Kluyveromyces lactis: one gene and its partners. The protein of the gene in region 1 purifies or fractionates together with the protein of each later gene. This does not show direct contact. Links are inferred from orthologs where the notes say so. Each region holds a gene or a part of one and is shown on either strand. Other genes may lie near its edges.

The links.
Region 2: the proteins of PRP42 (region 1) and PRP39 purify together in Saccharomyces cerevisiae (affinity purification with mass spectrometry, with the first as the bait; 3 studies listed by BioGRID). This does not show direct contact. The link is inferred for Kluyveromyces lactis from reciprocal best matches to the Saccharomyces cerevisiae genes PRP42 and PRP39.
Region 3: the proteins of PRP42 (region 1) and SNU71 purify together in Saccharomyces cerevisiae (affinity purification with mass spectrometry; 6 studies listed by BioGRID). This does not show direct contact. The link is inferred for Kluyveromyces lactis from reciprocal best matches to the Saccharomyces cerevisiae genes PRP42 and SNU71.
Region 4: the proteins of PRP42 (region 1) and SNP1 purify together in Saccharomyces cerevisiae (affinity purification with mass spectrometry; 4 studies listed by BioGRID). This does not show direct contact. The link is inferred for Kluyveromyces lactis from reciprocal best matches to the Saccharomyces cerevisiae genes PRP42 and SNP1.
Region 5: the proteins of PRP42 (region 1) and STO1 purify together in Saccharomyces cerevisiae (affinity purification with mass spectrometry; 4 studies listed by BioGRID). This does not show direct contact. The link is inferred for Kluyveromyces lactis from reciprocal best matches to the Saccharomyces cerevisiae genes PRP42 and STO1.
Region 6: the proteins of PRP42 (region 1) and MUD1 purify together in Saccharomyces cerevisiae (affinity purification with mass spectrometry; 6 studies listed by BioGRID, with this or other methods). This does not show direct contact. The link is inferred for Kluyveromyces lactis from reciprocal best matches to the Saccharomyces cerevisiae genes PRP42 and MUD1.

What each region holds. Positions count from the first base shown.
Region 1 is NC_006039.1:1,319,346-1,323,102, reverse strand, and holds PRP42 (mRNA splicing protein PRP42), read right to left. Parts: upstream 2,410-3,757; coding exon 760-2,409; downstream 1-759. Other genes in the region: YCX1 (Ycx1p), read left to right, coding at 1-740; HEM3 (hydroxymethylbilane synthase), read right to left, coding at 2,894-3,757. UniProt on the Saccharomyces cerevisiae protein: Essential component of the U1 snRNP particle, which recognizes and binds the 5'-splice site of pre-mRNA. Together with other non-snRNP factors, U1 snRNP forms the spliceosomal commitment complex, that targets pre-mRNA to the splicing pathway.
Region 2 is NC_006037.1:712,392-716,632, reverse strand, and holds PRP39 (Prp39p), read left to right. Parts: upstream 1-1,766; coding exon 1,767-3,614; downstream 3,615-4,241. Other genes in the region: BFA1 (Bfa1p), read right to left, coding at 1-1,286; UV-damaged DNA-binding protein RAD7, read right to left, coding at 3,675-4,241. UniProt on the Saccharomyces cerevisiae protein: Function prior to stable branch point recognition by the U1 snRNP particle to facilitate or stabilize the U1 snRNP/5'-splice site interaction. Has a direct role in the assembly or function of a catalytically active spliceosome.
Region 3 is NC_006039.1:1,599,409-1,603,406, forward strand, and holds SNU71 (Snu71p), read right to left. Parts: upstream 2,267-3,998; coding exon 560-2,266; downstream 1-559. Other genes in the region: MCY1 (putative cysteine synthase), read right to left, coding at 2,421-3,575; nicotinamide-nucleotide adenylyltransferase NMA2, read right to left, coding at 3,800-3,998. UniProt on the Saccharomyces cerevisiae protein: Component of the U1 snRNP particle, which recognizes and binds the 5'-splice site of pre-mRNA. Together with other non-snRNP factors, U1 snRNP forms the spliceosomal commitment complex, that targets pre-mRNA to the splicing pathway.
Region 4 is NC_006039.1:703,328-706,566, forward strand, and holds SNP1 (U1 snRNP complex subunit SNP1), read right to left. Parts: upstream 1,778-3,239; coding exon 872-1,777; downstream 1-871. Other genes in the region: ARG56 (bifunctional acetylglutamate kinase/N-acetyl-gamma-glutamyl-phosphate reductase), read right to left, coding at 1-264; CCR4-NOT core ubiquitin-protein ligase subunit MOT2, read right to left, coding at 2,189-3,239. UniProt on the Saccharomyces cerevisiae protein: Involved in nuclear mRNA splicing.
Region 5 is NC_006042.1:1,605,938-1,610,459, forward strand, and holds STO1 (Sto1p), read right to left. Parts: upstream 3,087-4,522; coding exon 519-3,086; downstream 1-518. Other genes in the region: DLT1 (Dlt1p), read left to right, coding at 1-287; KLLA0_F17545g (uncharacterized protein), read right to left, coding at 3,902-4,522. UniProt on the Saccharomyces cerevisiae protein: Component of the CBC complex, which binds co-transcriptionally to the 5'-cap of pre-mRNAs and is involved in maturation, export and degradation of nuclear mRNAs.
Region 6 is NC_006038.1:785,517-788,863, reverse strand, and holds MUD1 (Mud1p), read left to right. Parts: upstream 1-1,824; coding exon 1,825-2,742; downstream 2,743-3,347. Other genes in the region: TEF2 (translation elongation factor EF-1 alpha), read left to right, coding at 1-1,367; CBP6 (Cbp6p), read right to left, coding at 2,986-3,347. UniProt on the Saccharomyces cerevisiae protein: Involved in nuclear mRNA splicing. The principal role of the U1A is to help fold or maintain U1 RNA in an active configuration. It is the first snRNP to interact with pre-mRNA.

The DNA of each region.
Region 1 (3,757 bases):
TCATCACCACACCAATTGTTTTCTTTCTGACTCTTATAATACCCCTTCACTATTCGTCAATGTCAGGGAGTAACTTTTTCAAAGCTGCGTACTATTGTCAGTGTGCATTCTCCCCGTTCTTGACTCTTCTGTTGGTACAACGTGAATTTAACATTTGGTTATTTACTCTTGGCTTAATTGTATCCTGTATTTTACTTTTGATGTTCTTCAAATGGAAACTAACGGTCAAGGAAAAATATATCTCTTTATTTGGATTTGTTCTTTCAATTTCTTCCATATCATTTGTTGTTGGGTTGGTGCTTGACATTTTAACGAATTGGGCGGAGACGTTCAATCTCTCAGAAGCTATACTTGGTTTGACAGTTTTTGCGTGGGGAAATTCTATTGGTGATTTGGTCTCTAATGTCACATTCACCAGAATTGGAGTATTGGAGATTGCATTGGGTTCCTGTTTTGGTAGCCCTCTACTATATTTCCTATTTGGTGTTGGTGTAGATGGCATGCTCGTCCTTCTTCAGAGGGAATACCCTGAAGGTACAGCAATATGGAGTAGGCACATAGATTTCGATGTTAATCGTGGACTAGTCTTCAATTGTATCGGCATAGTCATAGCGTTTGGCATATTTATTTTTGTGGTCCCCCTAAATAATTGGAAGTTAGACAAGAGAGTTGGCTGTTTACTCTTATTCCTATATGGAATTATCACTACTATAAACGTCTATTTTGAATTGAATAAGTGAACTTGTAGACATAAACTAATTAAATAGGAACTTTCATCTGTCCCTGATTTGTGTAGGCTTCAGTAAAGAGTTCCATATCATCTGGCAAGTAGTTTGAAATAAACAATTCTACTTCAGACAAAACAGCCTTACCATACTTTGCAGCAGATGGAATGATATCATTTATAATATGCTTCCGCCTCTTTAAATAGGTGATATTATTATCGTACCATACTAGAGAACAATAAAGGTACCAGAACTTTGGATTTTCCAGGAACGATTTCCATTTGCTATTGATTATGTGTTGATAAACTTTAGTTTCAACTAAAGCACGCGGAAAACGCTCGTACATTTCATTTACCATGTTCAATAAAATGTATTGTCTGTTATGATCATCTTCTTTACTTGCCTTTTTCATCAATACATCCAGTAAATTGTCGGAGAATTCGATGTTGTTTGTTAAACCACTGAAGCGACTTTTTGAATTGGCAGAACTCAAGAACAAGTTGAATTGTATGTAGTCAATGAATATTTCGAAATCATCGGAAGTAGTTAGATCATTTGAGAATGCGAGTGAAATATCATCATATAATTGATGGAGTTCTGAAATCTGCCCTAATCTAATGAGAACCGAGGATAACATTGTGACAATCCTGGAACGCTTGTGAACGTAGGATAAAGCCTGTAACATCACGTTTTTGGCACCAATGAAATCGTTCAAATCATCAATTAAATAGTTGGCGTACTGCAACCATATATGGTCATAATGAGCTAAAGGGAGCACAGATCGCTGAAACTGAAGCTTGATTAGGTCTGAAATTTTCTTTTCCCTGATATATTCGAAATATTTCGTCCAGACGATGATTTCCTGGTGTGGAATAAGTTCTTCCGCAGACATGTAGTATCTTTTGGTGATCTTACTTTCAAACAATTCATATATCTCCATAACTTCATACTGTACGACAAGGAATAACTCTTTAGAAACTTTCTTCAAAGCTTTCTTGGCGACTTGCAAATGTGGGCCTCTGCGACCATTCAATTGTGTGTCTATCTTCAACTTTTTCCATAGCTCTTTATCTTCCGCATAGAACCTTAATTGTGAAAGATCTTTAACATCTTCAATGGTTTGTAGCCACAAATCATAAAAACTGGAATATTCATATAACGGTATTTCTATCACTTTTCTTAACGTTCGAATGTAATGTTGCGGTGTCTTGCATCGCAGTTTTATTTCGTTAAGATACATGTGCCAAAATTCAGCACCGAAGAAATGCAATCCAATGTAGGATTCCGCAAAGGCATATTTTTGGAAAAGTTGCTTATCACTGGGCATAATTTTATTGCAGATCTTCAAGTATTCTACCCATATTAACAATGACCTATTGTTGAAATACTGAAGAGCATTCTCGAATATAGCGTGAAACTTACCAAAATTCCCTAGTTTATACTCCAATAGTCCGTATTCGACATGATAATTCTCCAAAAAGGGGAACTGGTAGAGTAATGATTCATATGTCGATCGTACTAGCTGAAGAAGGTCTTTATTAATAGATTTTGAGATAGGTGATGCCTTCAGCAATAAATGATTCAAAAGATTCTCCCAATGGTGCAAACTTTTTGGATATTTGCATATTAAGAGACTGAATTCAGATAGCTTTTGATCACCTAATAGATTAAGATCATCTTCCATTTCCTTTTTCACAGTACTGGCAGAGCAACGATGATTTCAGTGCGTTTAGCTGCGTGCTCTACTTTGTTATGTTGGCTCATGAGTTAAACTACGTGTATATATTTCATGTTCTTGATAATGGTCATTTTTCTATTTTGCATCTATAAACAAAGAAATAATTGAACAGACCTACAACTGACATGGCAAAGAGATCTTTGTTCGGAACTCATTCCAATTCATTGCTTCATCGCAGTATATATATAGGTTTGTTTTATGCAAAAAGGGTCTTAATTAAGTGCATGTTTTTTCTATGATTAAACATTATTTGAATAAGTAAATATGCAAATTCATACATCAGGATAAAATTAAAAGCGTAAACGGAAACAAGAGAAGACATTAATAAGTGAATTATAAGGCAAGGGAAAAGGGTGTTTATATTGAATGCCGAGAGTTCATGCCCATTCAATTTTCTTCCACTCTCGTGTTTTAGAAGGAATGTTCGTCATTAAGTGATTTTGTCAAGATTGATAGAGTCTAAGATCTCTTTGGCACCATTTTGGGTTAGTTTAGCAGCAAGTTCTTTACCACAATTTATACTATCTTCCCTTTCGTTAGAAATGGTGACCTTATGTTCGATTTCTACCCATTCAGTACCTTCGACGTTGATAACAATACCTTTTAAGGTTAACACTTTTGTACTTTCGTCGTAGTTGGATACAACACCAATTGGAACTGAGCAACCACCTTCTAGAGTTCTGAGTAAAGAACGCTCGGCTAGACAGCAGATAGTCGTCGAAGGATCACAAATTTCTTTTAGAATTTTTTTCATCTTCTCGTCATCTTTTCTGATTTCAATACCAAGCGCACCTTGACCGACTGCGTAGCACATTGTGTCAGCATTAAAACGCTGGGTAATTCTAGAATCAAGTCCACTTCTCATTAGGCCGGCACTGGCCAAAACGATACATTTGTAAGGAGTCTCTGGATCATCTAATTTCGCCAGCCTGGTTTGAATATTACCTCTGATACTTTCGAATTTCAGGTTTGGAAATTTTCTCTTTAATTGAGCAGATCTTCTTACTGATGAAGTTCCGACCACCGAGCCGTCAGGCAACTCTGACAAGCTACTGTACGGAGAACCAATTGGCATGACTAGAGCATCTGTAGGATCTACACGTTTCGTGATACCGCCTAATTCGAATCCATCAGGTAGAAGAGTTGGCATATCTTTCAATGAATGAACAATCAGATCGATACGAGATTCATCATCTTTGTACAATAAATCTTCTAGTTCTTTCGTCCACACAGCCTTCCCACCAAAAGAATACAAGGGCTTAGACTGAACTTGGTCGCCAAGAGTGTGTACAGA
Region 2 (4,241 bases), on another chromosome or scaffold:
AACGGAGACTTTGACCTTTTGTTCTTGATGATAAACGCTTTCCGATCGACATTTTCAATGTTATCGAAACTGCTTAAAATATCCTCATTACCATCCCATCGTTTCTCCCTTGGGTTGTATTTCATCTTACCTCTTTTCAACGGCGTGTTGAGATCAATTTCTTGTCTTATTGTCTTTAAACGAGCACGAGCTCTTGTAGAATTACGTCTGTTAACAGCAGCAGCAGCAGCGGCCTGTTTTGCCGTACCCCGTTGTTGACGAGCTTCCCTATACGAATCCAACGGAGCGTCGAACGCATAATGCTTCTTATGCAGCTGTGGTGTTAATAAAGTGTCATCATGTTCGATATCATACTCTGAGGGTGATAAACGTAATGTTGGATCAAATGCTGAAAAGTTATTGTTGTTATTAGTAGCGAACTGGAAGTTATCGTCAATTCCTTCAAAATCATTACCGAAATTATCGTCATCGTCGTCTCCATTATTAGCCATTTCTGTAGCCTCAACAGCAATGTCTTGGACAACGTTACCGTCATCAGTTCTTTCACCAAACCTTGGTCCAAGATCCCTGTAACTCCTTCTAACTCTGGGCACATATGGATAGGGTTCATCATCTTCATCTTCATCGTCATCTTCGTCATCTTCGTCCTCAAGTAACACATCTTGACGGTTGAACCTCATTAACGATGGCATAGATGACTTATAACTGAGAGTTCGACCAGAACTGGGTCTAAGGTTCATATAAGACCTGCTGTTCGGTACTCGACGCGATTGCTGTGAATTCAAGCTTGTAATATTACCTTTACTACGGGTTGCCAAATCGACCATCGATCTACGCTGTCGTACCGAATCCTTCAACGATGGCCGCACTAGTCCCGCATGGTTTATATATTGATCCACATTTCTAGTACCACTACCACCACCGGTCTTAGAATTTCTCAGGTTCAATGATAGCTTCTTCTCCAGTTGTTCTTGCAAATCAGCTAGCTCGTCCTGATCCGAACTTTCCCTAAATCGTCTATCCACAGCAAGAGGTAGGTCTGTACCATTTTGGTACTCTTCAAAATCACTGTTATAGTTCATATCATCATCAAGATCGCTCGCCAGTTCCGTGTGTGATGAATACCTCTTATCCTTAGAGAATGTGGTATTTTCCGTAGTTGTGGATGTAGCTGAATTAGGTGCCAATCTCGGTACCTCTATATCATCTTTATAAGTAAATGTGCTTTCAACATCTTCAAATGATGTTTCTCCGACATCATCCAGTACAACTGGACGTATAGACATCGATAATCGAAGATTGTCCCTGGTCTTTTCCCTTGTTTATTCCTTTGTTTACATCTCGAACATACCTTTAATGCTTCCGTCATTGATGTATCTATTAACCTTAAACAAAATAATCATATTCGTGAGACGTGATACTATATTAATTGCTGTTTAAACCGCTGTTGAGACGCCAATTCTGCATTTCGAGCACTCCTATAAAACACTGAGATTCCCAGAATTCGACTAAGTTAATAATTACCTTTTAAACACTCATTTAGGCGCGTTTATCTCTGTTTGTTTTTCTTTCATGCTTCCAAAATGATTCAAAATTGCAAAGAACCGTATTATTGTAATTCTTTAAGATAAATCTCTGTTAAAGATGCATGATGCCACCAAACAGAACAAGAGCCTTTAGCTGCTATCCGTGAGCCGTTTTGAGTGTGAAGTCGGCAGCAGGGGTTTGCATATCAAATTTAAGAAGGAAACTAGGGATTTTATGAAATGTTTGAAGGATTAGACCAAACTTTTCTGAAGAATAACGATGAATGGGTGCAGAGTTATAATTCTGTTGACTGGAACGATATAACTACTATCGACAAACTGGTGGTTGGTACAGAAGCATTGGTACAGAAATACAATAATCCCAATGAACATGTGAAGAGCAATATATATAAAGTTTTTGATGAGTTATTGGGAAGGTATCCGTTATTTTTTGGTTACTGGAAACGATACGTTGCGGTGAAATATCAGCTAGATGGATTAGAAGGGTCTATTTCTACTTTAAAGGCATCTTTACATTCGTTCCCTACGTCGATAGATCTTTGGATTGATATGTTGAACGTTTATCTAACACATAATCAGAATGATAGTGAACTGATACGAAACCAGTTCAGGAAATGCGAATCCCTCGTGGGATCTCATTTCCTCTCGCACGATATTTGGGATAAGCACATTGCATATGAAACAAGACTACAGAACTGGGAAAACGTATTTGAGGTGTACAAACAAGTCATGCAGCAACCTTTGCATCAATATGCAAGATACTACACCAGCTTTAAGGAATTCTTGGAATATCACCCAGAGTTTGCTAATAGGGAATCAAGCATCCATTTGGATACCACATTTATTTCTAACCAGGAGAAGGTGAACAAAATATGGACATATGAATCACAAATAAAACAGCCATTTTTCAATATCCCTGAGCTTCCCGAGAATGAGATTCAGAATTGGGATGCTTATCTATCTTTCTTAATCAACAACACTGAGTTCAGTACAGAATTAATAAAATCGACGTTTGAGAGATGTTTGATTCCATGTTTAAGATACGAATATTTCTGGGGAGCCTATATTGACTGGACTGAAAGGACTTTTGGTCCCGAATGTACGTTCCCCTTGTTTGAAAGAGCACTCCGGGCTCTTCCTGCTGATAATAAATCTTTCAAGCAAAAATACATCAAATATTTGGAAAGTAATATGGATCCATATAATAAATTATCTTCCAAACACTATATGGACGCTCTATACACGTTCCAGCTTAAATGGCCACATGATCCAAGTTCAACTATTAAATATTTAAGGTTTCACAAGAGAAGATATTTTGCAGCATCTTTGAATGATGAAGACAAAAAGATCTTGGAACAACAGAGTAAATATGCTACATTTTTGGATAAAACTATCAAGGCGTACCTATCAGGGAATGCAGATACGGAAAATCACGACATTTCCCAGCAGTTGCTTGCCATGCTAAATGACACTACTCTTCCGATACTGGTAGTTGAACTAATAAAAGTGCATTGGCTGGTATTGAAGAACGTCATTCAATGCAGGAAACACTTTACATACTTCGCCAAATTGGATCCGATCAAGACTTCAGTCTTATTTTGGTTGACTTACTACAAGTTTGAAAAGACTCAAAAAAATATCGCCAGATTAACAAAGTTTGTCGATCAATTAGGCACTGAGATCGTATTACCAACAAAAGTTATCAATGATATCGTACGAGATTTCCAAGGGTTTTATCTAATCAATGCAGATTATTCCGAGTACGAAACCAATTTATCGCAATCCCGTTTTGGGTTTGACCCAATAGTTCACAATAGGTTCAAAATCAACAACCCAACATGGAGGCCGAACGCCAAGCTAACCAAGGACTGGTATAAATCAGAAAAGTATAGATCGAACGGTCATCCTGGATTGTTCATTGATAAGCCTCAAATTAAAAATACTATAATAGAGACGCTTGCATCGAAGCAGCTCAATCCAGCACCTTTGCCTACTTTTAGAAATTTAGAAAAGATCCATCAGAAACCTAAATTTGATGATTACATGTCTATAGATTATTTAAAGTAGTAGCTGAAAGGGCATTCTCACACTCAAGCATTTTCATGATCCTAGAATTTTTTTAATCATTTATATACTGTCACTTTGCCTTCCGATAATGCTTACACCATTCCGAGGAGAGCATTTGCCTGTGACTTGATTATCACCATAAACTTCAATAATAGTGAGCTTTTCATTGTCCTTGGATATCTTTTCCACAATTTCATTATCCACACAGTGGACAAACCCTATATTTAGCTGCTTGAGGTTAGGACATGCCATGAAGGTGAAAGTTTTGGATGTTAGGGATTTCAGACCATTTAGATTCAACTCTTCTAAGGTGGAAGAGGAGTTAAGTAATAATTCAACTACGGCTGCATCCTCCAAAGCAAAACATCTTTTCAAGCTACATCTTTTCAACAAAGGGAACTGCAACGAAGAGAATAATAGAACTATGCCGTCGGTGGTTATCTGATCCAATTCTTCTAATTCCAAGTCTGTAAGGATTGATTGCCCTGAGTTAGACAAAAATGGTAAAAATCCATTAATTATACAGCTATCAGTCAAGCCAGTGCATCTATTGAGCGACAACTTCCTAAGGTTCTGGCCTATGGATCCTAACAAACTTATAATAACCTCGTCATTAATATCTGTTTC
Region 3 (3,998 bases), about 280 kb from region 1:
TATAAAAAACTTATAAGTAATTTGAGATGAATCAATAAATGAATGAATGGAGGAACACAAAGAAAAGAAAGATGTATACACCAAAATATTACCACTGGTAACGTTCTTTGTTGAAAAGTTTGACCCTGACGATAAATCTCGAATCTAAAAACTTATTATCTTTTGCCTAAAGCAACCCGAACGAAAACAGAAACTAAATTCCACCATTATCAGGTGTGTACATAAGTTACAAGTAATAGAATCTCTATGTTTGTTCCTTTGTTTATCTCATCCTGCCAATTCTTCCTGTAACCGTTCTGGATCTGGTAAAAAATTGGTGAAGTTGAGAATGTATCGCTATATACGATATACAAAACGCGAATCAATATGAAACACGATTACCCGGACCTCTAGTAACCTCATGTTACCGCCCGATCTGGCTGGAACACTCGAATCGGGCGAAAAAATTTCGTGACAGTCACGTGAGACGTAACCGGGTAATAGAATCTCATTATTAGACATGTGACACACATACCTACATATACATATATATGTATATTCACATGTATGGTATATTCCACTACTGTTCCATCGCTTCCCATATACGGCTCACTAGGACAGGGCTATCTTCGTCGAACGTCTCTGTAAGCTCAGTCTCGAGTGCCTGTTTCGATTGATGTTCTTCGATGTTTTCAAAGATATATGAGACTAAGTCGGGCTCGTAAACTCCCAAGTATTCTTTGACGAGTTCTTCCACTACGCCGCTTTCCCTTAGTAGATTCAACTTCTGTTGGAACGCATCGGTTTCAGGAGTCTCTTCCTCTTCTATCTCATTCTTTGTCTTTCCAATGGATTTCTTTAGTGCTAATTTAATCTTTGGTGCAGCCGTTGTCGCATCTGCGTCCGATACCAATTTTGTCTCTGTCTCTGTCTCTGGCTCTAGCTCTAGCTCTAGTTCTGTCTCTGGCTCTGTTTCTGTTGCTTTTTTCTTTGGTACTTCTTCAGATTCCCGTTTACGGTCCTCTTCATCTGCCTTGGATTCAGATTCCTTGTATGGCCTGTGATGGTCGTGGTAAGGATCCATGGCAAGATGTAATAACTCTTTTAACATAGGACCTTTGTTCTTTTGTAAATGCGTTTCGTAGTTTTGTAACCTTTGGTATTCTTGTCGTAGCGATGAGTATTGGACCAGTAACGAATCTTGGAAACTATGAACCATGGATTCATACTGGGCTTCTTGCGCATCTCTTTCCGCTTGAACTCTTTTTTTTTCCGCTTCGTAATCGTCCGCATCTTCATCATCGTAACCCTCAACCTCGTCGTCTGAATCTTCAGAGTCACTTTCAGCTTCAGGGGCTGAACCTTTTTCCGAGCCTCCATTAGTAACCTTGATACGGTCAAATATATGCTTCAAGTTTTGTTTCCTCCGTTTTTCTTCCTCCGCTAGCTCTTTATTCCGTTTCTCTTTCTCTAACGTAATGACACGAGTTCTAAACTCAACAATATCCTTACACAATTGGTCTAATGAGGAACTCGGAAGGTCACTCAACGTACTTATATCCACGTTATACTCAACGGCACTATTTCCAGCCAACCCTTTCTCCTGAGATATAGAGCCTGGTTCAGATCTCAACATTGTAATTAATGCGGAGAACTCATCTTTTGCAGTTTCATCGAGTTCCTTAGCAGGAGAACCTTCCGTCAGATCGCAAACGAACCGTCTAGTGTTTTCATCCATGTGAAGTCCGATCCCATCTGACCCGTTGTCAAACAATTTCTCAAGTAACTGTATCGCTTTCCCATATTCTTCCACTATACTTTCCTGGAAACTTATATATACCGTCAACGTATTCACACAATCGACGTAACTCCATTGTTTGATAAATTTGGTCTCATTATCTTCAACTTGCAGCTTTTTCCGTATTAGATTGTCTAGTCTGTCCATAACTTTATCAATACCCTTGGATCCAAGTCCCAGTGGAAAATGTGCTAAACAAACGGTATGCAACTGTTGTTCTAACGAAATTGGTAAAAAGGACTTCAAATCAACATAGCGTGAAGTTGAAGTCTTGAATTCATCAGAATTGTCCGTTTCATTAGTCTTCGAGGCTACTGAATTCCCTTTATCATGGTCTCTATGGCTGTTGGCTTGTTTCAACGACTGTTCAAATTTGGGGATATCACTCTTCAAAATCGGCACATATCCTGGCTTCGGCACCTGTGATTGCCAGTTCTTCGTGTCTCCACAGCAGTATAATGTGGGCGACACAAACAATACAGTATCCATTAGTGAGTTAAACACGTTCGGCCTAGTAGTATCAGCGTTTATTTGCTAACTCATCGCTGAAACTTTACGTCTACTCTCTCGATATATATATTTCAAGATTTTTCCAATTAATTGATATTTACAAAAGACCAAAGTTAAACACACTGTACGTTATTTATATGATATCTGAAATTGAAAGATCGTTACTCACCTGCAGGGCCTCTTTCCAGAACTTGCTTAAATGTCTAGAGCCACTGTCACATGCAATGATGCAAACATTTGAACCCTTCGGTAAGTTTTCCGCATATTTCAGCACTGCGACTGCATTGATTGCAGTACTGGCACCAACGAATAATCCGTCATTTACACATAAGAATTTGGCCATCTTAATAGCTTCCTCGTCTGTAATTCTGATGGAATCATCTATATAATTTTCCGCTTTCAGAAAGTTGTTTGTAATTCTGTTAAGACCAATTCCTTCCACTAATGTGTCCACTTGATGTCTTCTTCTTGTTCCTTCTTTCTCTACGTTATCGTACATGACACCGTATTTGATTCTATTGTAGAAACCCGAGCCTTGCGGATCAGCCAACACAATATGTACTTTGTCACCTCTTTTCTCCTTTAGATAACGAGAAACACCGGCCATGGTACCACCAGTACCGCATCCCGTGATGAATGCATCCACTTCCCCATTTAATTGTAGATAAATTTCAGGTCCTGTCGTTTCGTAATGGCATTTCCAATTGGCCTCGTTCTCGAATTGATCTGCAAATACACCAACACCCTCAGTGTACTCTTCTGAACACGACTTAGCTGCATTTACGTATTGGTTCGGATCCACTATACTAGCAGGTTTTACCTTGTTCACTATTGCACCAAGTGCAGTTAAAAGAGAAAGTTTCTCTTGGCTTGTATCGTCCGGTAGCGAGATATGGCATGAGTAACCCAACGCGTTACAACATATTGCAAGGGATATACCTGTAGATCCGCTTGTTCCTTCAAAGATTCTATTTTTCTTATCACTTGAACCCTTAATACCTTCCTGCGATGAGATGGTTTTGATAATATTCAAGGCAACTCTGTCCTTTGCGCTACCACCTGGATTATTTAACTCCATTTTGGCAAAAACGTTCAAACCAGTATAATCGGAAAGAGATTTAATTCTTACCATTGGTGTATTTCCTATCAAGTCTTCCACTCCATCCTTTGGTGGTGATAGAGCAGTTAATGTAGTTGTCTTAACCTTATATGCATAGTATAACGATGCAACAGCCACGAAAAGGGATGTTACACAGGCATAATCCTTCCATCTGTCTGCAGCAGTCATCGTTACGGAGCTAGATCAAAGGATAACAGCATGCGCAACTTTCGCTAGACGACAAATACTATTGTTGATTAAGAACTTCTATTATAAAAAGGATTTCAACTAACTAAAAACTGTTACAATTTGTGTGTATATTATCTTCGAGTTAAAGACATCACGTGAGTCTGACCAGGGAGGAGTCTAGAAAGGAGAAGGAGAATATGTGATTAGAACAATTAGTGTCACACTCAATCCTTGTTACCGATAACTTGTTTCACTGGTTCAGTTTGGTTTACGTACAAGCCATGCTCTTGAATATATCTGATGACAGAATTTGGCAGTAAATACTGAACCGACATTCTCCGTCGGATGAATAACCTTACCTTGGTGGAAGAGATATCATTATAGATCAACTGTTTAATGACAAGGATATTCCTTCTGTGTTCG
Region 4 (3,239 bases), about 620 kb from region 1:
AAATTGCTGTTGCGAAACCGAAGTGAAGTACTTCAAATATTGTTCTACTTCTCTTTTCGATCCAATATTGTTCAATAATTGAATAACCGTAGATCTAGTCCCAGTAGATCCAACACCGTTAGCACTAGAAACAAATCTTTTCGAATAACCAACTCTCTTTGGGATTGAAGGAGAACATCTAGCCAAAATCGAAGCAACTTTGCTCAAACGAGATGGATTCAAACCCTTCGTTGACATCAACAATCTCGCAGATGGGACAGACATGTTTTCTTCTTCTTCTTCTTCTTCTTCTTCTTCTTCTTCTTCTTCTTCTTCTTTATCTAATCAAAATCCTTTAAAGAAGATAAAACAGTTGGCTTGGCTCACTATCACTGAAAAGGCAGGTATCAACACTTTCCTGCAAACCCTTTAATTTGTCCTGCAGATGGATAGAGCTGGTCTTAACTTCGATTAGACAATAATGCTGTTCAGTACTTTACGAGTTAACTCATACTTTAGATACCTAATGGAAATACTTAGCGAATGGGAAACTGAAAACGGTTTTCTTTATATGTGCGATTCGCTGAGTTGCCATTTTTTTTTTTTTTTTTGTTTGACTGGAATAATTTTTTCCATCGTTATTTTGGAATCAGTCATCGATCAAGAAATTACTCATGCATACAGAGGTAGTGGTTCAGTTATGCTTGGCCAGTGGGCACAATGTAGGAGAACTGCGTAGATATGAGAACAGAGGTAGAAATGGTAGGAAGTACATATAACATTTAGCCATGGCTCATCTGTATGGCTACTTATATGAATATATATGAAAATGTATATAGATCACTGCAGCAGTTCTGATCACGTGCTATTTGATGTGTCTTTTTATCTCATCTCAATACATCAATGTGTCTGTAGAACCATTGGAAGTATCATTGCGAGATCTGTCCCTCCTTGATCGGTAGCTAGAACTTGCAGTTTTTTGGAAATTTGATGCAGGTGAGGATATTGGACTAGTTGGTTGATAAGAATGGGAATGCCCTTGTGGAGGACCTCTTCTTTCGAAGGTATCGTGTCTTCTGATGGGTCTTCTAGCATGTTCATGCATCGGTCTTGTTGAAGCACCAGTTAATTTATTTACGAGATCTTTCCTTTGGTAACCTCGTCCTCCTAATCCTCCACCTAGACGTCGAGGTTTGAAGAATTTCACCGTTCTGCCTCTTTCTATATCAACGATGGATGTTCGGCCCATGATTTCTATTCCCTTCCTTACACCAAGCTCTCTGAAACACTGTTTGGAGTCTTCATAACTGGTAAACTGCACAAAACCGTATCCTCGGCTCTTACCGTCTTGGTCTCTTACTATTCTGCACGATTCAATGTCGCCGTATTTGACGAAACTCTTCTGTAGTTCAACTTCGTCTACGGCATAGTGTAACCGTCCGACAAATAATGTGCGGTAGGGGTCACTAGAAATGTTTGCATCTGATTCAGGGTGCCACTCTTGTATTTTCTTCATCAACTCCTCCTGTTCTTTGTGCGATTCGTTCATGGCTTCATCATATACTTTCAAGTGTTGGTTCTCTGATACGGGATGGGTTGCCTTCTTATACTCTGAAACATGTTGCAACACGGCTGATACACCAGTGAGTGCATATTTCTTGTTCTGGTTTCGCCTTACTCTCACTCTCGATGGTGGTAATGGTGGACCTTGTGTAAATAACTTTGATACTGAAGACGGAAGTTTGGTCAAAGTGTGAAAGCCATTATGCCTGTTGTATTTCCTCGTTTGTGGTTTCATCTATTAATTGGAATGGATATGTGCCAATATTATCTTTATTGATGCGCTTACCGCAGTATCGAGGTTAAGGTGTATGCGCTGAGGTAAAGTGTATGTAATTATATTCCATATTTTTGGCGCATCTTTACTATTTAGATGTTAAATGTTACAATTTTCACATAATTGATGGAAAAACCTTAAAAAGAGTGTGTCAAAATATGTATTTTAATGTGAATGCCTTTGACAGAAAGAAGAACCCAGAAAGACAGTAGATTACAAGGTCTGATTTGGAAAAATGAAATTGAAACAGTTGTTTATCTAACAACCTGGAACGGTTTATATTGAAAAATAAATGAATGTACATGAATATATATATTTATTTATATGCTAACTTCGTAAAAGAAATATTATTGGAATCATACTGAGTACTGATTATACGGCAGCAGTCTGTTTCTTACCGTGAATTAATTGATTTAGTAGATCGGAAGAATTGCTTTGTGGCTGGCTCATAACTTGCTGCGCCATGCCTTGCTGCGCCATGCCTTGTTGGGCTTGTAGTTGCATTTGCAGTGAAAGCTGTTGTTGCTGTTGCTGTAATTGCTGTTGCTGTAGCTGCTGCTTCTGCTGTTGTACTAATTGTGGTTGCTGGACAGCAATTCCCGGTGGTAACATGGTAGGTGTAGCCTTGTTTTGAATGAATGGCAGAAGAGAGGACATGTGGTCCACAGGTTTTATAGTAAGCAAATCACATAGTTTGGCACCCAAGACACCTTCAGATTGCTCACTACATCCAATCTTCTCAAATGAAAAAAGTGATGGGTAACTTTGATATGTTTCGTCATCCAATAAGTTGGAGTTGAATGTGTAGCTTCTTTCAGGAATATCTGATAAAAACTTAAAAGTTTGATCTAGGAACTTAACACATGTTGCCATTGGATCGTAAGGATCCTCGTATGTCTTTTCGCCCTTCTTCTTCGAACTTACGTTAGAAGAAGAGTTTGCTGTTGGGGCAGATCCAGTGGTCGTAGGAGTGCCTGGACCTGGACTGTTCAGAGTTTCCCCCAAGGAGCTTGACAACGTAGGGAAAGTGGTAGAAGTAGAAGTCTTGTTGAAAATAGTAGAAACTGGTGTGGGTGCTTGAGATATACCCCATGGGTTTGAACCAGATGGAACTGGAGCTGGTGTTAGCACAGGAGCGGTTTGCTTCGAGCTTGAAGTTGCAGCTGCTGGCACAGTAGAGTCATCTGTTCTCAATGAAGCATGAGCAAGCTTTGGCGTAGAGCTTGCACTTGTAGACGGTTTAGCAAGTGTAGGTGGTGCATGTGAGTGATGGGCATGTTCCTTCCTGGCATTGTTGAAAGCATCCGCTTCTTCCCCTGGTTCATGTAAAAACATACAGTTCGGATTTGGACATGGTTGTCCCCTCAAATACGAGGAGCAGTACTTTGTTGTACCATATGCTGCTTTCACTTGATGTCCATCA
Region 5 (4,522 bases), on another chromosome or scaffold:
GAATCGAGTCTGTCCCATCCCAATTTCTTCACGTTCCTACTGAAGATTATGACACTGATGCCAGATCTAGAACGGACTCCGAATTCTCAACTCCATATTTACGACCTTACCCGTCTGACGCCTTCATGCATAATACAACCCCTGCATCACATGTGGGCTCTCGCTCCAGTAACTTCAGTTACGATATAGATGAGTCTGCAGAACCACCAGAATCTGTGGAAGACCAACAAAGATATCATGACATGCTCACTAGAGTAGACACTTACAATACCGTCATACATAGATGATTAAAATACCGGACAGTTTCTGTAACTTATTAATTAAAGCTTTTGGACTTAATAATTATAAACAACAACGACTCTTATCTTATATAATACACAACGATGCAGAAAGGCATCAAAAAAGAGAACATGACTAGGAGGGTATCATTAGCAAACAACCCATCGTATCGAGAACTTTGATGTCAATTCGAAATCAATATACCTGGATATAAGCTGGCAAGTAGTTCTGGTTCACGCTCATAATTCTGAAACTTCCGAAATCCATCTGTTCAATTGTTGCTTGGTGGGTTCATGTGGCACGCCTTGTAATACATCATTGATGAACTTTTCCGTCAGAACGCTAAACTCATCCGAGTATTTTCTGAGCACACTCTTTAAGAAACCCATAATTGCTTCGTATTTCCACGCAAGGTCTAATGATGGTAACTCTTCGTCTGTTGCCTGAATGTCTTGATCAAGATCTGGAACAACAATTGGATCAATAGTGTTCAATTGCGACAATACCTCGTTAGCAGCACCCACCAACCTGTTGAAGACATACTCAAAAGAACCAACATCTTTGTCAGCAGCCATAGCCAGCTCATTCAAAATTCTGAAAATAGACTCAATAGAAGTAGAGTCGACGAGACTCATGTTTACTCCACACTGTTCGGTCAAAGAAAAGTTTAAAACTGATTCATTTGAAATTAGACCATTATATCTCAAAGAGTCCAAAATCAAGTAACCAGTTTGAGAGTTACTATTCCAGTATCTGACAACCGCCTCACAAATCCATTGATCTTTAATTTGCGGCGACACCTCTACCTGTGCCATAATTGCTTTCAACTCTTCTCTCGAATCATCAATATATTTGTTTGCATGGGAGAGAGATCTACTACCACAGAAAACAATGGTTTGAATCAGAAGAGTCACAGTAAATCTATTGAAATCTTCAATAATTGACCCATGGTTTACAGCAATGTCCTTGAGAATACCCTCCAACTCTGCAACAGATCTGGTGTCAGGTTGCTTGTGGAAGAAATCCAAAAGTTGAGTTACGTTTTCATGGAATGGGAAAGATGGAGATCTGAAATATAGCTCATTGTTACGAAGATCGCCTTCATCCAATTGGAAATCTTTGAAAAGAGAGGAGTAATAGTTAACAAGATCTTCTCTCTTGATGAAAGATGGATCCATGAATTTTTGGAATTCATCAGTAACACTTTCTTCAACATCAGCAGAATTGGACGTTAATCTTAATTCCTTTCTGATCAAATTCTTAATGAATATCATTCTTGGATTGTAAATAGTTCTATTCCACTGAATGGAATCAACTTCCCACTCATTCCATTTCCATGAGAAATTGAAGTTACTCATTTGAATTGAGAACCAATCTAGGAACCTAGCTTTTAACTCGAAGTCTAGTTTATCCAAATTGTTATAGAAATATCTGAAAGCTCTACCGAAAACAGGAGCAATAGCTTTTGGCGAGTTCTTGCAAATTTCTACCAAAAGAGAATAGAAATAGGCAAAAGATTGAGAAACAGTAGGTAATTTAAAAGTTAATTCTAAGATGGCACCAACGGCTAAATCTTCGATTTTGAAAGTACTTCTTGCTGGGTTTTCTTCAAATTGTTCCAAGAGTTGGGCGACAGGAAGGCCCGGTTCAGTGAAAATACCCGCAGTGAAGAAAAGATCAATCGTTACTAATTGTCTCGCAACTTCAAGTCTATTGAACTCCATACTTTCGATTATATCAAGAAGAATATCTTGAAATAACATACCTGTGAAGGTGGTAGTTGGTATCACGGTAGAAAATGGACCCACACTGTTCGGTAAGTAAACCTCGAATGAATATCTTGGAGTTTTCCATAGACTATCGACTGAACCGAAGCCTTTGTCTAAACCTGAAAATGGAATAATTTGTTCTAAAGTTGGTAGATTCAACGGCTCATTAAAAGAATGAATTGCTATTTGTTGGGTCAATAAGGTGTCATAATTCAGGAAAAGCTCGCCTAGTTGTTGCATATCGTTTGCCAATGCGTTCTTGACATTTGGCAAGACAGCAGTAACCCAATGAACTGGTTCATATGGTGGGTTCTTATTGTATGCTTTGAGCAATTGAATATCAGTATCTTTAATGTTATATTCGTTTTCGACAAAAGTGAGTAACTCCTCAACTAAAGTTTTTAACGATTCACGATTATCCGAGTTGAAGTAGAACAAATATGGAACGTTCAACAAGGTGTTGGTATAGATGGCTTCAGAAAGTGGGGATCTTTTCTCCGTGGAATTGTTTAAATCGACGGTAAACTGCAATAATTTCTTGTACAAGTCAAGCAAATCATCTGGTACCACCATTGGCGATAGAATGGAGATAAATCTGAGTACTAACTTAATTTTATCCCATGGTCCAATATCATGAGATTTGGTTTGGTAGTCGGGGTCATGACTTGAATTAAGTAACTCTTGAATTTGGTCAAAGAAATAATTCAAAATACTTTTACCAATTTCTGGTTTAGCTGAATTTAGCACCATGGTTAAAAGAGCAATACCTGGTTGCTTATGAGGTTGTTCCAAGATAACTGCTCTGAAAGTTTTCAAAAGTGCGTTGTTGAAATACTCGTCATTACCGAATTCATGAACAATGGCCTCACTTAGGAACTTGATATCTTCTGGAAAAGCCTTGGCCGATTCACCCATGGTCCTGATATCAGGCATCATGTCCTTACAAAGCATGACAACGGGTGGCAGCCTTTGCCTTTTGGCAAAATGTGGCCTCGCTTCACGATAACCACTCTCTTCTTCATAATCTACAAGAATCATTGTGTTTCAGAAACAGTTGTTAGTAATTATATGCTTTTCCTTGGAAAACGTTAATGTAAGTCTCAGATATATATCTGATACTATTGCTTTCTCTCTGAGTTCTAAACCAAAGTGTCAACCAACCGACTACTTTTAACGAAACTTCTTCGATATTATTCAGAGTAAATCATACCGAAAACTTGAAGTATTTATACCGATTGTCGATGGGATGTCTCTCTAGTCTAGATGTGTGTTTTGTGGCAATCTTGGAACCGTCTGTCATCTGTCTCTCTTTGCTGACGTCGCTGTCAGTTGTACTAAGGGAAAACTTAAATCTGATATAACAATACGTCAGAGATGGATAGAACCTTCAAAAAACAATGCAAAACTCTAACGTCTTGAATGGTGACATAAATTAAACATACCAAAACCTCTTTTTGACATCTCTCGGGTACTTGATGGCGTATTGTTGGATATAATACTGATATCAGTTGGCAAAATCTTGATTGTAACGTTATGAATTCGTGTTTTCATATATTTTAATTTTTTTTCAATTTTCATTTTGAATTCTTGTTATGGAGACGACCAGACAATCAATGCCATTCGATACTTAGGCCAACAGGTACATAGTTGAAATTGTTAAAGCTTACGAATGTCAGGGTTTCACAGCCTGTAGATTACCATAATTAGATAACAATGTGTTTTCAACGTTTTTTAACATATATATGTATATTTCCCAAATTATATAGGTATATGCTTGACTGGAAAAGAAATCGCAGAAATAACGAGACCTTCAAAATCGGAACGAACCATACATGGATTCTTTTCATTTTGCTTCAAGAATCATGTACTTGCTTCTGCAACTGTTCTATCAGTAGATCTTTGGACTGCAGTTGCGTCTTCAGCTCATTTATTTGAAGGGCGAGTTCGTTAGGAGATGGCTTTATACCATGTTGGTATAATAAATTCTGTTCTTCTGCAATGAAACGTTTGAGCCTTTCTTCGTTCAAATTTTGAATCAACTCAACAATCTTTGACGATTTTTTCCTTAATTCCGTTTCGAAATCCAGTAGAGAAAGAGCCTGAGGTGACTCTGGTTCCTTCGGATTCTTTGATTCTAATTCACTTTCTAATCTACCTTCCCTTGCGATAGACTCGGCTAATTCCGTGGAAACCAATTGTAGCTCTTGCATCAACATCATATTTTGTTTCAAAATATTCAAATACTCTTCAGTGATCAACAGGGGTTGTTTGGGATCCTTTTCAGAAGCAAAAGATGGCTTATATGGCAACGCGGAAATAGGTTCAGCCTTCTGTTTTACATATTCTTTCTCAAGACAAGGCACTTCCTGTATCTCTGTGCTTTCACCAATAATCATCGACTTACGAATTTGCAAAGTTGATCTGTCAAATGTCTTTTCCTTATTACTATATTGGTCGTGGTGATTACCAGCAGA
Region 6 (3,347 bases), on another chromosome or scaffold:
AAAAGTCTCACGTTAACGTTGTCGTTATTGGTCACGTCGATTCTGGTAAGTCTACCACTACCGGTCATTTGATCTACAAGTGTGGTGGTATTGACAAGAGAACCATTGAAAAGTTCGAAAAGGAAGCCGCTGAATTGGGTAAGGGTTCTTTCAAGTACGCTTGGGTTTTGGACAAGTTAAAGGCTGAAAGAGAAAGAGGTATCACCATCGATATCGCTTTGTGGAAGTTCGAAACTCCAAAGTACCAAGTTACCGTTATCGATGCTCCAGGTCACAGAGATTTCATCAAGAACATGATTACTGGTACTTCTCAAGCTGACTGTGCTATCTTGATTATTGCTGGTGGTGTCGGTGAATTCGAAGCCGGTATCTCCAAGGATGGTCAAACCAGAGAACACGCTTTGTTGGCTTTCACCTTGGGTGTTAGACAATTGATTGTTGCTGTTAACAAGATGGATTCCGTTAAGTGGGATGAATCTCGTTTCCAAGAAATTGTCAAGGAAACCTCTAACTTCATCAAGAAGGTCGGTTACAACCCAAAGACTGTTCCATTCGTCCCAATCTCTGGTTGGAACGGTGACAACATGATTGAAGCCACCACCAATGCTTCATGGTACAAGGGTTGGGAAAAGGAAACCAAGTCCGGTGTCGTCAAGGGTAAGACCTTGTTGGAAGCTATTGACGCTATCGAACCACCATCCAGACCAACTGACAAGCCATTGAGATTGCCATTGCAAGATGTCTACAAGATTGGTGGTATCGGAACTGTGCCAGTCGGTAGAGTCGAAACCGGTGTTATCAAGCCAGGTATGATTGTTACCTTCGCCCCAGCCGGTGTTACTACTGAAGTTAAGTCCGTCGAAATGCACCACGAACAATTGGAAGAAGGTCTACCAGGTGACAACGTCGGTTTCAACGTCAAGAACGTTTCCGTTAAGGAAATCAGAAGAGGTAACGTCTGTGGTGACTCCAAGAACGATCCACCAAAGGCTGCTGCTTCTTTCAACGCCACTGTTATCGTCTTGAACCATCCAGGTCAAATCTCTGCTGGTTACTCTCCAGTTTTGGATTGTCACACTGCTCACATTGCTTGTAAGTTCGACGAATTGTTGGAAAAGAACGACAGAAGATCCGGTAAGAAGTTGGAAGACTCTCCAAAGTTCTTGAAGTCCGGTGATGCTGCTTTGGTTAAGTTCGTTCCATCTAAGCCAATGTGTGTTGAAGCCTTCTCTGACTACCCACCTCTAGGTAGATTCGCTGTCAGAGACATGAGACAAACCGTCGCTGTCGGTGTTATCAAGTCCGTTGACAAGACTGACAAGGCCGGTAAGGTCACCAAGGCCGCTGTCAAGGCTGGTAAGAAATAAGTTTAACTTGATACTACTAGATTTTTTCTCTTCATTTATAAAATTTTTGGTTATAATTGAAGCTTTAGAAGTATGAAAAAATCCTTTTTTTTCATTCTTTGCAACCAAAATAAGAAGCTTCTTTTATTCATTGAAATGATGAATATAAACCTAACAAAAGAAAAAGACTCGAATATCAAACATTAAAAAAAAATAAAAGAGGTTATCTGTTTTCCCATTTAGTTGGAGTTTGCATTTTCTAATAGATAGAACTCTCAATTAATGTGGATTTAGTTTCTCTGTTCGTTTTTTTTTGTTTTGTTCTCACTGTATTTACATTTCTATTTAGTATTTAGTTATTCATATAATCTTAACTTAACGTAACAACAACTTTCATTGTCAACAAATTTACTAATACTAATACGTATGGACTATTTGTTAATAGGTTGTGATATCCTTCTCTATTAGGTTATTACACATGCCATACAAAGCTAGTATCTATCGGCAAGCAATGGTCAGTACCTTATATCTGTCGAATCTACCGTCGAGGCCCGACTCATTGTCCAAATTCAGAGCCTTACTACTATCAAGTGTTAATTCAGATCATCGTTCTATTTCAAATGATGTTAGTACAAGATTCGATCTGAACTCGAAGAAAGAAACTAGTGAGGCTGATGCGGTTACACCAGTACTCGATGAAAAGTATCAGATCATAGAGGTATCAAGGTATGGCTCAAGACCCTTGAGGAGGTCTTGTTTCGTCACTTTTAAGGACTCAGACAGTTGTAATACGTTCCTTATAGAATTTCAAGGCAAGCTCAAGATTAATGGGAGAAAGATAAATATAAAGCTGGCGAATACGGATTCTTTCGCAGCTTTGTACTACCAGGGACAACAGAAACAGCTACAGGATGAACTTCGGTTACGTACACGTAAAGCTGTGGATAATTCACAGCCCAAGACCAAGACAAAAAACGAAGTGTTGAAAAGAAGGTTAAGAAGAGCTAGAAGTAAGCTTAGAAAGAAGGATTTGGACGAAGAAACCATACAGAAGCTTCTTTCAAAGCCCAGAAAAACAAATCCTGAAGGTACCAACAAGACTGCTATGTCACAGCAGTCGGAGAAAGTTTCCTCCACTAAAAAAGTCTTTGACATTGTCGGAAATCCCCCTCACCATGTCCTATTGGTTCAAAATCTTCCAAAAGATGTTACTCAGCAAGAATTGGAAAAGTTATTTGTCTCAGATGGATTTAAAGAGGTTAGATTGGTCAGTGTCAGAAATCTTTGCTTTGTTGAATATGATTCTACAGCAAATGCCACTAAAGTTGTTGAAACCTTAGGTCATGATCATCCATTCAAGAATGTAACGATAAAGATTGGATACGCCAAGAAATGATTCTACATTTCAATGCGAATCAATAAATTCAAAGCGTTCACAGGTCGGAACTGGAACCAACAATCTACGCTTTAATAGTACATTTATCAGCAACAGATAAACAGAATAAATAGAATAGATTGAATATAAATTATTTACAGTCAGTGTATGGAGGCCTGTACAGTACAGATACACTAGAAACGAAAAAGACAGAAATGATATATACATATATGCATACGAAGCTCTAAAACCCTGAAACCGAAATTACTTACCAAATACGACAGTTCTCATAGCTGTAAAGAAAGTTTCCTTACCCTTACCTTCGATTTCGTCATGCAATCTTTTGTAATAAATTGGGTTACCTGCTGGCTTGTATAATTTGTCCCCTACAGCATAATAATTCTTATATTTATCGCTCATTATAGCATTCAACGATCTTATCTGTTCTTGGATTTGAGTATCGTTGAAATGTTCTTCTGGTAAAGCCTCTTGAACTTTCTTTAATAGATCTTTCTTCAAACCTAATGGGCCAGAAGTTCTGTTGATAATATCCTTAATCTCTGCAAGAGAAGGCTTACTTTGCTCAGAGGCACTACCGGTTTCTATTCCGGCAACTGGACGGAACC